Linked DNA regions of Ovis aries. The protein of the gene in region 2 purifies or fractionates together with the protein of the main gene of each other region. This does not show direct contact. Links are inferred from orthologs where the notes say so. Each region holds a gene or a part of one and is shown on either strand. Other genes may lie near its edges.

Region 1 (3,579 bases), on a different chromosome or scaffold from region 2:
ATGGGACGGTTAAAACACACACACGTTTCTTGAGCCAACTGCAAAATGAAACTTGCCTCAGAATGCAACATCCCCTTTCCATAATAATTCATTCTGATTCCTGCTCTGATAGAAGACCTAGCGAGATAACCAGCTCTAATTGACCTGGACTCCTCTTTCGTTCCACCCCACCCACACACGGAATCTGAATTGGTGCGTGGCGCAGGGGGGTGGTCAACAACAGGGAACTGCCACTGGCCCGTGGGAGTTTGGCCCCAGGGTCCACAAGGGAGGAACTGGCGGGATTCCTCCCTCCCCCCTTCACCCCACCCCAAGGCCTGGCTTACCCTGCTCTCCACAATCCCAGAACCCAAGGGACCCAGGCCCACCTTCGCGGGTTCAGAGGCTAGACTGGACCGGAAGCATCTTTCTGCGAGCCCTCTCCTCCGCGTCTGGCTCACCGCCCCCTCCATCCCAAGCGCCTAATCCCTCGAGGAGGAAGGGCCTGGGTACCTCGTCTCTCCAGCAACCCGGGGCGCTCTGCGAGGGGGCGAGGGCTGCCGGGCACGGGGGGACCCCAATTGCATCACAGAGAGACTCCGGACCCTCAACGTGCCGAGCCGCTGCCCGCGACTCCGGCTGCTGACATCCGCCCTCAAACTAACGGGCCAGGCGGACCGAGGAGGCCGCCGCAGGACGCGCGCGGGGTGCTCTCCAGCCTGGGGGGGTGGTCACTGCCGCGGCGCCCGGGTCGCGGACCCGAGCCTCCCACGACCTTTCAGAAGCGGGAGGGACCTCTGGGGTCTGAGTCCTCAAAAGAAAGAATAAGGCAAATCTCACAGCGTCACCTCAGTTTTCAAGGCGGGCGAGCCGAAGGCATTTCGCAGGTTTCCCTTCGGCCTCGCGGCGCGGCGAGCCCCCGCCCCCTCCAGCAGCCCGCGCCGCCTCGCACTCGAGGGTCTGGCTCCCGGGACTCCCGGGCTCCCCCGCCTCCGGGCGCGCGGCGACCCCGGCGGCCCCGCCTTCCTCTGCAGCGGGAATCGGCGAGGGTCTGCAGGCTGAGGACGCCCCCGTCCCGCCTTCCCATCCCTTGCTCCCCGAGACCCTAAATTTGCCCGGACCCTCTTGGACACCCGCAACGCGGCCCACGCGCCGCCGCCAGCAACCGGCACCCGGCGCCCCGCCCCGGGCGCGAACGCCCGGCGCCGGCACCCCGCTAACACTGGCCCCCGAGCCCGGGAGGGGCCGGGACAGCCACGGCGCAAGCCGGTCAGAGAGTGGGGCGCCGAGACGGGCGGAGGGCGTTTGGGAGGGAGGGGAGGAGAGGGTCGGAGCCCGCGGAATCCCGAGGCGGGGCGGCGCGGCGGCCCGCGGTCGGGTTCAGCCGGGATGCCGGGGACCGGGGCGCGGGAGTCTCAGGGGAGAACGCCGGGGATCCTCGCCCCGGAGGAGTGGGGGGCGGGGTGGAGCTCGTCCCGGCGGCGGCTCCGAGAGTGGGCACCGGGGGATTCCTGTGGGAGGGGAGAGCGGCTCAGAGGAGTGCGTCGGGACTTTGGCCGGGCGGCTCGAGGGGTGATGAACGGATAGAGGGGACACGGGCGGAGGTGGTGGCTTCGGGCACAAGTGGGAGAGGGAAGCATCTGTGCGGGACCACTAACGCGGCGAGCCCAGCTGGGGGATCCCGAGGAAAAGGGCCAGGCGGGGGTCCCTCAGGTCGGAGCCACCGAGGTACGAGCCTTGGAGGCCTCCCGGGTCGGGACCCGGGCCCCCGCGGGCTCGGAGACGCCTGCGGGCAGGTCCGGCGGCGCCGAGCCGGGGGCGGGGGTGGGGCGGGGGGCAGCCGCAGTTTCTTACCTTGAAGGCCACGGGCAGGGTCTTGTTGCAGCGCCAGTGCGAGGGCAGCACGGAGCACAGGAAGTTGGGGCTGTCGGTGCGGACTAGTTCGGCCGGGTGGTCAGCGATGATCTCCACCATGGTGCGGTTGTCGTGCGGCGGCCGCAACCGGGGCACCGCGGCCGCCGCTGCCGCCGCCGCCGCCGCCGCCGCCGCCGCCGCCGCCTCCTGCTGTTGCTGCTGCTGTTGCTGCTGCTGCTGTTGCTGCTGCTGCTGTTGTTGCTGCTGCTGCGCAGCCACCACCGGGCTCACGTCGCTCATCTTGCCGGGCTGCAGGCTGCTGGAGGGGGGGCTGAAGCGCCGGCTGGTGCTCGGATCTACGGGAATACGCATCACAACAGCCACAAGTTAGCGAAGTGGCCGGGGGAGGGGGAGGAGGGTGGAAATGAGGGGCGAGGAGGAGGAAATTGGGGGGGTGGAGGCCAGACGGGGGAAAAGGGGCTGGAGGTGATGGGGCTGAGGAGGTGAGAAATCAAGTTCGATGAAGCCGACTGCCGGGCGGAGTCTGACGGGAGCCAGCGGCGGCGTTGCGGAGCAGTCGGCTTGGCGGTTGGGGAGACCCGAGAGGCGCAGGTCTTGATGGAGCCTTTGGAACACCCGGGGTGGCAGCTGCGAACGAGCACCGGGACGTGTCTGGCCCGGGCAGGCGGGAGGCTTCAGTCTGCAGCAACTTGGAGTGGGGCCCCCTGGGGCACCGCGTCCTGGGTGCGCTGGCGCCCCCTCCCAGTTCGAGTCCGGCGGTGGAGCCCAGTGGGTTCAGCAGTCCAGCCCCGAGGCCAGGATCGCCGCGCGCTGCCCGCCACCGCCGCTCCGCGCCGCGCGCAGCTACCCGGCTGCAGGCGTCCGCGCCGCCGCCCGCCCGCCCGCGCCGCTGCCGCCGCCGCCGCCGCCGCCTCCTCCGCGGCGGCCGCCGCTCCCCCCGCGCCGGCTGCGCACTCAGATTCCTCCCGCGGCGGCTGCCAGCCCGGCTCCCCGGTCCGGCTCTTTCCTTTCCCTTCTCCTCTTCTCGCCCTCTCACCGCCACCTCCTCGCATCCACTCCCTCCTGATTTTTGCAAAGCTCCCCTGACCCTCGCGCTTCGAGGTGCCAGGAGGTAAGTCGCGGGCAGCGGATCTCGGGGCAACGGATCTCGAGGCTACGAATCGCAGCCGCTGCCGCCGCCCGCCGGCCGCGAGAAGGAGCCCCCGGGACGCCGCGCGCAGCTTCGGAAGCCGAGAGAGGCGGCCCCGGGCTAGCGGGATCTCGCCGGGTCGCGTCTTCTTGCTTCTCGCCCTCTCCTCCCAGGACAAGGAACCCCCTTCTTGGTCCAGGGAGATTGAAGCTGAGATGCCAGAGAGCCGCTGGCTGATCTGACTGTCGTTATTTTTCGTTTTAACTTCAGGAGAGGAGGAAGGAAAATTCTTGAGCGTCTGTGCTGACTTCTCAGCACTCTTCACCCTTCCCCCACCCTACCCCCCCCCCCACCTCTGCCGGAGCGGCTCCCTAGGGAAAAAAAAGATTTTGCAGGGTTTGGGTGTGTTTCTTTTTCTTTTTTTTTTTTTTTCACTTAAGTGACACAAAAATTTGGGATGGAGGGGACACTTGTCAAAATAGTTTTAGAAACGCAAGTGGGTGTTGGACACTTTTTCCTTCTATATTCAAACTAGTCGTTCCTAGAGAACAAGGATGAGTTTTTTTAAGCACTGGAAAACTGTCAGCTTGATGATT
Region 2 (4,129 bases):
TGAACTCTCAGGAACAACCCAAGTGTCCATATGCCCCAGGCTGCGGAAAACACTGGAAGAGGAAAAGGCAGGCCACAGCTATGCTTTCCCAGAGGGCAAACTCCTACCAAGGCAAGTGGGAGCCAGGCCTCTCCCCAGGGCCCACCCTGTAGCCATCAGCAAAGAATGTATTCAGACCCTTCAAACTGAAGAGGAGCCATGGTAAGCAGAAGGGGCACATTTGGTCAGAATGGCATGTTTTGCTATGCCAAGCCTTTTCACCTCTCTCCTCCAGAGTTTTCTCAACTTTGAAAATGGGATCAGTCTTAGGCCTAATTAATTGCCTTATCTATTTTCCAGGAGTTTCTTTTTCTTGATCTCCTAAAAGCATATGAAAGTCTTTTGTAAACTGTGAAACAATTCATGCAGCTGTTCGTTTTATACTGGATACTGATTTTTTTTTTTTTTTTTTCTGTCTCAAAACATAAAAAAGCACTTGTCCTCAGCGCCCTCAGGCAGGTAAGAAGGCAGATTCTCTCCAGGAGGGAGAAGTATGACATTCATTTACCCTACTCCCTACCCCTCACCTAAAGTAATAAAGAAGGAAGAACCAGGGCTGAGACCAGGACCTCGGGCTCCCTGACCATCACATCACACCACCTCCTCTGAAGTCAATTCCGGCTCCCCATCATACACCAGAGCACACTTCCCAGACAGCACACCACCTTCCTTCCCGCTTTATTGGCTGGACCCACCCAGTTTTGAAGAAAAAAAATTATTATTTTTCAAGTCCGCACTCCCACCATATGTGGCATTTATTTCCAGAGGAGGCCGGCTCTGGGTTTCCGTGGACAGATGTTGCTTTGTGCCTGCCTGACACGGCTGGCGGCCGGCGTACAGCTGCCCCGAGCAGGTGGCCAAGGACGGAGTCCACTTCTGGCCCAGCATCAGGAGGGACAATTTATGTGGAGCTCTGGCCCCGGGGACCCTCTGCTCATTCCTCCACAGCCAGGGACCCCTACTCACACACACAGACTCTCCCTCAGTACACAATTAAGACGTTCAAAGGGGGCTAAGAGGGAGACACAGAAAGCTAAGATACCTCCCCCCTCAACACATCCCAATTTCCAGCCAGGCGCAGCTAAGCTAAGAGAAGGCCGTGGGGAGTGGAGAGAAGTCACTGACCCCTTCTATCAGCCATCTGTGAGCTCCTGCCAGACCTAGCTAGCGCGAAGTGGAGGATAAAGGAGGTCCAGACAGATGGCAAAGCGCTTTGGGAAGGAGGGCTCCGTAGGAATGCGAGGGCCGATGCGAGGCCCACTTCAGGGTGCGTTTTGTTATCTCCTCGGCTCCAAACCCCCTCCTTTCGGCACCCACCCGAAATCTCAGACTGAAAGAAGGGCAAAAAACAGCCGCGGGAGGCGGGGGAGAAGACCCCACTCTCCGCCACTTATCTCTCTCATTTGAAAGTCAGAGCACTCCGCTGCAACTAAAGTGCGTGTGTGCGGAGGGGGCGGGAGACTGGCACAACCGAATCTAAAAATACTCGATAAAAATGCTAATCCCGAAGGCAAAGAGAGAACGAAGAAGGAATCTGTCAATCACGAGGCTCCCGCTCCTCACCCACAGCCCCAGCTGTACGGACTGCATTCCTGTCGAGAAGGAAAGAAGTGGGGGGACAGGAATGAAGAAAAGAAAGGGAGAGACACCACCACCTCCACGAGCGCGGGCCGCGGGGGCGGGAGGCGGCGGCGGAGGAGGGGCTCGGGCCCGCGGAGCCGAACAAAGCGGGCCTCAAGTTCTATCCCGCAGCTCCCCGAGGTGTGTGTGTGGGGGGGGGGGCATCCTGCAGCACCCCCTTTCCCGGAGGTGAAATGCCAATGCGGGGTCTAGGGGAGCGAGTGCCGCGTGGAACTCCCGGGCTCTGAATCTTTGCAATTCCAGAAAAGGTTTTGTTTGGGGTCCCCCTTCGCCCGCTTCCTGCCTGCGTTCCCACCCCTCGTATACACACACACACAATCCCTCCCGCTCCAGTCCCACCAGGCCGGCCCCGCCACGCTATGGGGCCGGGCGGGCGCGCCCCGAGGTCCCTCCAGCCCCCACCTGGGGATGGTGATGCACTTGGTGTTGACGTTCTGCGTGGTGATGGCTTTCTCCAGCTCGTCCAGCTGCCCCGTCTTCTTGAGCTTCTTGACCAAACTCTTGACTGCCTTCTCGCACCACTTCTCCTCCTGCCCGTTCTGCTCGCCCTTTTTCCAGCCCAGCAAGCGCTTCACGATCGGGGGCGTGAAAGGCAGGATGGACGACATGGTTGAGGAGGGCGCGCGAGCTGCGAGGAGCGCCCCCGGCGGGGCTAGGCGCGGCGGGACGCCGGGGGCGCAGCGGGGAGCTCAGCCCGGGCCGGCTGCGGCCGCCCAAACTTCGCTTCAACTCTCGGCGAACTTGCTGGTTCTCCAGGCCCGGCCGCGGCGCTGCAGCCGGCGGGGCTCGGCGCGCGGCCCTGCGCCCCGGGCGTCTCCCACGGCGGGGAGAAGGACGGCGGGGCGGCGGGCAGGCAGTAGCGAAGCGAGATCGGGAAGGCCTGGGACGCGGGGCGGAGGCGGCGGCCGCGGGGACCGGAGTGGCAGAAGAAAGTTTGGGTTTCCGCACGGGGTGGCTGTTTGGGTGCCGCCTCCAGGAAGGAAAGTCCAACCCCCAGCCAAACTTTGCTCGCCTCGCTCGCTTTGATGCGCAGATCCCTCCGCCTCGGCAGCCTCGCCTCCCCGCTGCCCTCCTCCTTCCCGGCTCGCTCGCTAGCTGGGCCGGCCCGGGGCGTGCGCCGCGCTCTTGCTCCCGCCCGCTCCCAGTCTGTGTTTCATGCAAATCCGCGTGCAGCCTCCTTTCCAAGCGCTGTCACCGCCCCCTTGCCGCTGGGGCTCCCCGCCTCCTCCCCCGCGCCCCGCCGCCTCCTCCTGCGGGCGCCTTGCTCGCCCCCCCCCCAACCCCCAGCCTCCGGGAGGGCTCCTGGCCTTTCCCCCGCCCGGCGCGGAGCACGCCCACGTGGGCGACCTGGGACAGCGGCCGCCAGGGCTGGAGCGCGCAGGACCCCGCGCGGCCCCGACCTGAAGTCCAGCGGACGCCGGGAGGAAGTCGTGGGAAAGGAGCGGCGAGAAGGGCCCCTGGCGGGAGGGCCGGGCTCGGGTCGTGGCGTCCGCTCTCGGAACCCACACTCAGGAAACCCAGCTGGAGTGGCGGGCCCGAGGGTTAGACCCGCACGAACGAACGAGAGCGGGCTGGCCACAGGCAGGCGGTGCGCTCCTGGGAGGACCCCGGTTCGAGGGAGGACGCGCGGAAGGCTGAGGCCCAGGAAGTCGGGGCGCGCACCAGGACGCTGGTGCGCCGATCCCGGTCAGGGGCCGTGGCGGCGCCGGGGACTCGGGGGGCTGTTTTTATTCTCGCACCAGAGAGACCGTTCCAGTTTAGAGCCCCAGGGCCGGATTAGGGAGAGGCTCTCAGAGGTGCCGATTTGGGGACCCCAGTGACTCCCTGGATAATAGCTGGAGTCAGGGGTCCCTTGGACCTTTGGGAATCAAGTGCCCCGCAGAAAATGGGCCTCAGAGGCATTCGTTAAGCTCAGGAAGAAATGAATGGGGGAGCCTTAGAACTTATCTGTAGAGGAAAAGTTTCATTACAGGGTGCTGGAATCCTATGGGAAACAAAGTATCCGAAATTCAACACCCAGTAAAATAGGAGAGAGTTTTGTTTTCAAAGCTGTGAACTCGCAACAAGTGGAGCAAAAGGGCAGTCTTCGGGGACCTTATATATTCCAAATTAGCTTCGGTGGGAAGCAGAGGAACACCAGGATATTGGGGGCGCTCTGGGGCTTTTCTCTCCATGAACACAATTCAGGGGCGTCTACCCACAGACCCCTCACTCGGTGGCTGTCAGGAGTTACCCCAGGCCCCCAGGGCCTTTCTCCTGCAGCCCCTCCCCTACCAGACCTCTTAGCCTTTGTTTGTTTTTAACAGCAGGAAACTCCCTTGGTGAGAAAGAAGTGATCCGCAAACCCTCTAGCGGGTGGGGAGTTACAGAGCCCTGTGAGGTGTGGCCTAATCCACAATGTCAGCCCAGAAGCTGCAGGGGTCCCTGCCTGGAAGGAGAAAATGAGCTC
Region 3 (3,116 bases), on a different chromosome or scaffold from region 2:
TCCAGACTGACCTCTCCTCCAGTGTCCTGTTTAATTAATGATACCGTCCCCTCTTCAGTCAGTTCTGTCAAAAACCAGGGAGTCATCCTTAATCTCTCCCTTAGTCTCTACATTAAACAAGTCATTAAACAAGTCATGTCAAATCTATTCCATAATGTCCTGATTCTGTCCACTTATTTCCATCTTCATCATTGACCTGTCTTATCCACATTACTATCATCTCCCTCTTGGACAACATAATAACCTCTAACTGGTCTCCTTGCATTCACTTCTTATTTCCATCTATTTTCCACATAACAGTCTATGTAAAAATTTTAAGAGATCCCATCTTACTATTCCTGTCCTTAAAACATTTGAGTGGATTCCCATTGCCCTTATGGTAATATCCAAGTACTTTAATGCAGTTTACATAGTCCTCCATAATCCAGCATCTTCAGGGTTATCTTTCTGTTGTTCCATCTCTAGTCACAGTGACTGTCTTTTAGTTATTTGAATATATCAAGTTCCTTCTTGCCTTGGGCTTTGTATAAGCTGTCACCTTTGCTTTAGATGTCCTTTACACCTTTCTTTATTCTGCCTATGTTTATTTATTCTTTAGATTTCAGCATAAATGTTTTCTTTTTTAATTGAAAGATAATTACTTTACAGCGTTTTGTGGTTTTCTGTCATACATCAACAAGTATCAACCATAGGTACACCCTCCTTAGTGTTATCTGATATTCACAAATGGGCTTAAGTACATACATTGACAGCTTTCTATACCCTTCTTTCTTAGAATTTGCCACAGTTATAATTTCTTTGGTGATACTGTTTTTCATCTGTCTCCACTACTGTAAAGTGTGAGATCAGTGACTCTGTGTCTGTCTTGTGAGTGTGTCTGTCTTTTTCACCTTGATCCAAGGATCTAGCTCATAGTAAAAGCATGCAGTGAATATTTTTTGAACGAATTGACTGAATACCTTTCAATAAAATGGAACAGTGGAAAATAGTAAAACTAATTTGTTTTTCTATAGCATTTCATTTAGATAGAAGAAATTCACCACCAAATAGTTTGACACCATGTCTGAAGATTCGAAATATGTTTGATCCAGTTATGTAAGTATTATGACAAAAGGTGCATGCAATTTTTTAAATATCTGGATGAAAAATACATGATAGTCTTATAATGCTGTGTCTATGATTGAAAAATCTCTTTTACTTCTGAATCTTAACTACCAAAATTTGAAACAAAGCTTTCCGAAAAGACACAGGTGTATAATGATTTGAAAAACTTTTTAAAATCTTTGTTTTACTGTGAATCTATAGAAGACAGATGGTTGAATCAGATTAATGACAAATATGATGATAAATAACAGTATCCTTTATTAAATGTATGTCATGTTTGCCACCACTCTTTGCCTCTGTAGGCAATATAAATAAAAATATCTGCTGTCTTAAAATTTCCAAACCCTTATTATAAGAAGTTTTCTACGAAAGATGTACATACCCTCCTTTCTATAAGATTTGTCTACCTGTCATTGCAATATTTGAGGAACTTTTATGTCCATTTACCATTGAGAAACTTTTCTATTAATTACTTTTCTTTTAATTACAGTGACACGTGCATTCCTGAAAATAGTCTAGTCAAAAGTTATTTCTTTAAAATCCATAATATTTTACATATAAGCTGTAATAATCTTTAGAATTTGCTTCCTAGAGGTGACTGCTTATCTGTCCAATAATAGGACAAATCAAATTCTGTTTGTTTGTTTTTTAAAAAAAGCTGATAGTGGAAATTGTCTTATGTATAAAATATGTATAATTCCCATCTGATAACTCATTTATTTCAAGAAATAGTTAATATGATAGACTAAATAACAGCGAAATTGTTAATGTGACAAAGCACTGTCAGCATACACACACACACGCACCCCCTTCGTTTTGCAGAGGTAGAAATGACAGTGTGGTGATCCCTCTACTGGGAGTCTCACCCCATACCTTAGAGATTAGGAAGTCTGTGCCAGCCCAGTACTTTATTACCTGAGATGAAGATTTATGATTTGAAGTGGAATGGCCTTTTCCTCTGCCCCACCATCTGTATCTCACAAGAAAGACAAATGTGTGTTACTATAACAGAACCTCTTTCATAATAGTAAAGTGACTTATTTTTGCAAAATGTTTGTCCTGTATAAAGTTTCTAATATTTTGGGAAAAAACAGCTCAGAATATAATATTTACTAAGAATTTTCCTTAAGTTAGGAATTTGAAAATGTCATTAAAAAATAATCCTTAACTTTTATAAGTTTACCACAACTCATTGAAGTGTTTGTTAACACTTATTTAGATAGAAAAGAGAAATGACTATAAGTGCAAAGGATTTTAAACATAAAATTGAAAACATATTTATCTTACTATGGTAGGCTGATCCTTCTTGCTATGGTAGGCTGATCCTTCAGTGCCTCAGCTTGTACATTCTTACACCGGAAAGTGAGAACATAGCTGGGACTTCTGAATGCCAACATTTTTAAAATCTACCTACTGCTAGTAACAAGCATTTATATACTGTTAGTTTTTTACAATATATGGTTTTTAAGCTGTCCTAATTCTAGTTAGGTATATGGTGATGCTAGTGGTAAAGAACCCACCTGCCAATGCAGGAGACATAAGAGACACCGGTTCAATCCCTGGGTCAGAAAGATCCCCTGGAGGAGGGCATGGCAACCCACTCCAGTATTCTTGCCTGGAGAATCCCATGGACAGAGGAGCCTGCCAGGCTACGGTCCATGGGGTTGCAGAGTCAGACACAACTGAAGCAACTTAGTATGCACTCATTGAAGAGACAGAAAACTGCTTTCTGAGTAGGAATGTGGCTGTTGATTTTTTTTTCATTAATTTTTTAGGGAAATAGGGGATCAGTGGCATTTGGCAATTCAAGAAGCAATTTTAGAAAAATGCAGTGATAACGATGGCATTGTTCACATTGCAGTAGACAAGAACTCTCGTGAGGTAAAGTAGCTTTCACTATTGAATTCTTCATGTTGAATTATTGCTATTAAACTAAGACTCTTTCTTTCTTCCTTTTTGTTTTCTTTTTAAAATATTCCAGGGTTGTGTATATGTTAAATGTCTGTCTCCAG
Region 4 (3,579 bases), on a different chromosome or scaffold from region 2:
CAGGGAGGCCTGGCGTGCTGCGATTCATGGGGTGGCAAAGAGTTGGACACGACTGAGTGACTGAACTGAACTGAACTTAAGGCATAAGGACTCAGAACTAACAAATGCCAAGAAAAGAATCATTACTTGCCTGCATAGGTTTGGTAAGTGGATCCATTCTAACTAAATAAACTTCCAAGGTACGTTCCTTCTTCATGGGCAATGGAAGTGTCAAGTAACAGAAAGGATCAAATGTTACTGAAATCTTAGCACATTCCGGACATACTAAAGTTGATTTAAAAAGGCCATGAAATATATCTACTATGATAGAATCATTTCTTTTTAAATGGTTTTCCCAGGCTTCTTCAGCAACTACCTATAAGGAAAACAGACACATATTACACAGAGATATCACATTATTGTAACAATGTGACAATAATATGGTTAAATTTACCTTATCTGGTCTTCCATCAGCATCTTTTAATTGTATATATGGTTTTTTCCTAATTCTATTCAAATCCTCATGTAGTCCATCTAATAGGAAAGCTAATAGTTCTTGACAGTCCTGCTGCTGGTATCCAGAGAACTGAGGTGCAAAACGTCCTACTTGTGTCTGTAAAAAAAGCAAAACTATAAAATCAGTTCTAGGGATTTAAAAAAATATATAGTCGATAATCCATATCTGTGAATTCATCTACTTCCTAAAATTTATTTGTAATCCTGAAATCAACCTGTGGCACTTTTCCAGTAATTTGCAGATACGATAATTACATACGGGTAAATACACACAAATAATTACATATCTAAAAATATTTTAATAATGGTAACTAAGCTGTAAAATAGAAAAGAAACATTGACCTGAGCGAAGAACAATGAGAAAACGTTGCAGTTTTGTACAAAGAATTGGGAAACACTAAAGACTTGCTCTTAGTGGAAGCAATTCCATGAACAGAGGAAGCCTGGTGGGCTACAGTTCATGGGGTTGCAAAGTGTCGAATATGACTGAGCTCACACACACACACAGACTTAAAATTCAGTAACATTTTTGGGTCACTTGAAAACTACAGTGCTCTCATTCAGCTTCTGTGTTTAAAGAGGATAAATCTCATAGAGACAAAAGGAATATTCATGCTCATATATAATTTTTCTAGCCATTGCAGTGCTAAGTATTTTTTTGATGAGACTGAAAAGAAATGTGAAAGAAAAAAGTCAGGTTATCAAGGACCTATTTACAATGTAATTTTAAATGAGGACATCTTGTAAAATGAAAATAACTGGAATTATGGATAAAGGCTGAGGAATGATTTGTCTAAACCAGTTGGTCCAACGTTTGGAAAGTTAAGGAACAAATGTAGGACCTTTTCTGCTTTGTTGCTATTTATTTTTAAAGAACTAGTATACAGTAATAAAATGTTGCCCAGTTGATTTCCTATAAGAATATCATTTAAGTTGTATAAAAAGTGATTGAAAACTGCTGGGAAGAGGTCCTGAAGGAGGAAATGGCAACCCAATCCAATATTCTTGCCTGGAGAATCCCATGGAGAGAGGAGCCTGGTGGGCTACAGTCCACGGGGTCGCCAAGAGTCAGACATGACTTAGTGACTAAACTACCACCATCACCATACTCAGTATTTAGTGTTTGCTTTGCAGACTAATTTCAGTAATTTTTCAAACTTATCACTCTCAAAATAAGAGTTCTTAGAGCTTAATGACATGCTCAAATTTAGTCTTTACCTCTGTATGTTTACGTAGGTTTCTTAGAGATATGCTGTATTCTAAAACAATCTGCAAGTGCTCACTGCTGTCTGTCTGTCGTCATTTTGAACCATGCCTGCATTTCTCAACTTTTATTTATTTCCTTTGACAGCTCCCAGAACTCTTTTTGGATATTTTAAACTAATTATCTATTTCTGTACCCCACCCTGAAAATTTAATACTTTATTTGCTGCATATCTATTTATATGCTGAGTCCCTCTGGAGGGCCACAAACCACTGTAATAGCTATGATTCTTTGCTCTTTTCCTAAAGACGTCTGTCCTCTTGGGGGTAAAAACGCCTTGATGAAAATGTATTTGAGATACTAACCTTAAAGGCTCTTGGTGTGACATAGCTGAACTTTCCAGACCACATTTGCTTGATCAATTCAGCATAAGATTTAGCTATTTCACCTCTCATTCCTAAGGGATTGTCAAAATTCAGTTCGTCTTGATACTTATCATTCAGGAAATATTCAGTAAGTGGAGGTGTATTGCTCAAACACTGCAAAAAATAAAATATATTTTCAAGTAAAAGAAACCATACATATTAAACATTAAAATGCAGAAACAAAGTGATTATATATATATATATAGAGAGAGAGAGAGAGAGAGAGAGAGAGAAAAAAATTTACATTGATGGCCTCTTGCACTAATAAGTAACTAATCAAATAAACATTCAAATGATGTACTCAACTATTCATTTCCCAAATTTCAAGTCAATTATTTATAGTAAACAAAAATGCTAATATTTGTTGCTGCAAAACCTACATTAATTTTAACCACAGCAAACTACTGGTTAACTGGGAGAGAAGTTCAGAGTTTTTTTTCCTGGCAGAAATTATGGATTGTCTAACCATCCCAGGCATTTGCCAATTAGCCTGCTGCTACTGCTGCTAAGTCGCTTCAGTCGTGTCCGACTCTGTGCGACCCCACAGACGGTAGCCCACGAGGCTCCCCCATCCCTGGGATTCTCCAGGCAAGAACACTGGAGTGGGTTGCCGTTTCCTTCTCCAATGCATGCAAGTGAGAAGTGAAAGTGAAGTCGCTCAGTCGTGTCCGACTCTTAGCGACCCCATGGACTGTAGCCCACCAGGTTCCTCCGTCCATGGGATTTTTCAGGCAAGAGTACTGGAGTGGGGTGCCATTGCCTTCTCCGCAATTAGCCTGAGTAGGAGCTAAAAACTGAGATGGAGCACAAGGAAGAAATGAACTTTAAAGAGATATTTACTGCTTCCATTGTCAACTCATCAACATAAAAGAGCAGCCTTCTAAGTTTTCCTTTTGGGTCAATCATTTTCTAGAAGGGACAGTACAGATCAGCTGAGTCTGAGAAAACAAACTTCTATTATGTGAACTCTGGCCAATAGTATTCTTACTTCTTCCAGCTCTTATTTAATAATACAACAACCCAATTTTACTTTATGGCATGATTAAAATTATGAATAAGTTAATTCTCCAGCTCTGTTCCATTTTGAATAATTTAGAATCTAAAATAAAATAGACAGTGGAAGTACAGTTTTCCCACAATATTTTATCTCAAGCTAAAATAATTTTAAGTTGATAATGCTATATAATTTGACTTCATTTTGAACCCAATATTACTTTATCAATTAGATGTCTAGAGCCACTAAGTAGAATATGTAAAGACTGACACAGACGTAGAGTCATAGAGGTAACTATTTGGCTACAGGAAGATATTTGTTTTGGAGCACAGTGACAAAATGCTTTAAGTGAAGCTAGCTCTTTGCAAGTAGTAGAAACCCATTCTTAGGAGAGTTCAGAATTTATATTAATGGAAATGAAAGTTTTTCAAAGCTTGCTTACCATTCATAAGAACTAAGTT

Evidence for each region. The genes of interacting proteins can lie anywhere in the genome.
Region 1: the proteins of SMAD3 (region 2) and RUNX2 purify together in Homo sapiens (affinity purification with western blotting; 3 studies listed by BioGRID). This does not show direct contact. The link is inferred for Ovis aries from reciprocal best matches to the Homo sapiens genes SMAD3 and RUNX2.
Region 3: the proteins of SMAD3 (region 2) and LEMD3 purify together in Homo sapiens (affinity purification with mass spectrometry; 3 studies listed by BioGRID and IntAct, counting the BioPlex papers as one, with this or other methods). This does not show direct contact. The link is inferred for Ovis aries from reciprocal best matches to the Homo sapiens genes SMAD3 and LEMD3.
Region 4: the proteins of SMAD3 (region 2) and USP15 purify together in Homo sapiens (affinity purification with western blotting; 4 studies listed by BioGRID). This does not show direct contact. The link is inferred for Ovis aries from reciprocal best matches to the Homo sapiens genes SMAD3 and USP15.

What each region holds. Positions count from the first base shown.
Region 1 is NC_056073.1:18,657,127-18,660,705, reverse strand, and holds part of RUNX2 (runt-related transcription factor 2), read right to left. Parts: intron 2,685-3,579; exon of another isoform or gene 2,206-2,684; coding exon of another isoform or gene 2,190-2,205; coding exon 1,834-2,189; intron 901-1,833; exon of another isoform or gene 453-900; coding exon of another isoform or gene 369-452; intron 1-368. UniProt on the Homo sapiens protein: Transcription factor involved in osteoblastic differentiation and skeletal morphogenesis. Essential for the maturation of osteoblasts and both intramembranous and endochondral ossification.
Region 2 is NC_056060.1:13,866,688-13,870,816, reverse strand, and holds the start of SMAD3 (mothers against decapentaplegic homolog 3), read right to left. Parts: upstream 2,836-4,129; 5' UTR 2,289-2,835; coding exon 2,083-2,288; intron 1-2,082. UniProt on the Homo sapiens protein: Receptor-regulated SMAD (R-SMAD) that is an intracellular signal transducer and transcriptional modulator activated by TGF-beta (transforming growth factor) and activin type 1 receptor kinases.
Region 3 is NC_056056.1:154,714,539-154,717,654, reverse strand, and holds part of LEMD3 (inner nuclear membrane protein Man1), read left to right. Parts: intron 1-1,013; coding exon 1,014-1,095; intron 1,096-2,879; coding exon 2,880-2,985; intron 2,986-3,085; coding exon 3,086-3,116.
Region 4 is NC_056056.1:157,296,666-157,300,244, forward strand, and holds part of USP15 (ubiquitin carboxyl-terminal hydrolase 15), read right to left. Parts: intron 2,239-3,579; coding exon 2,065-2,238; intron 593-2,064; coding exon 434-592; intron 356-433; coding exon 131-355; intron 1-130. UniProt on the Homo sapiens protein: Hydrolase that removes conjugated ubiquitin from target proteins and regulates various pathways such as the TGF-beta receptor signaling, NF-kappa-B and RNF41/NRDP1-PRKN pathways.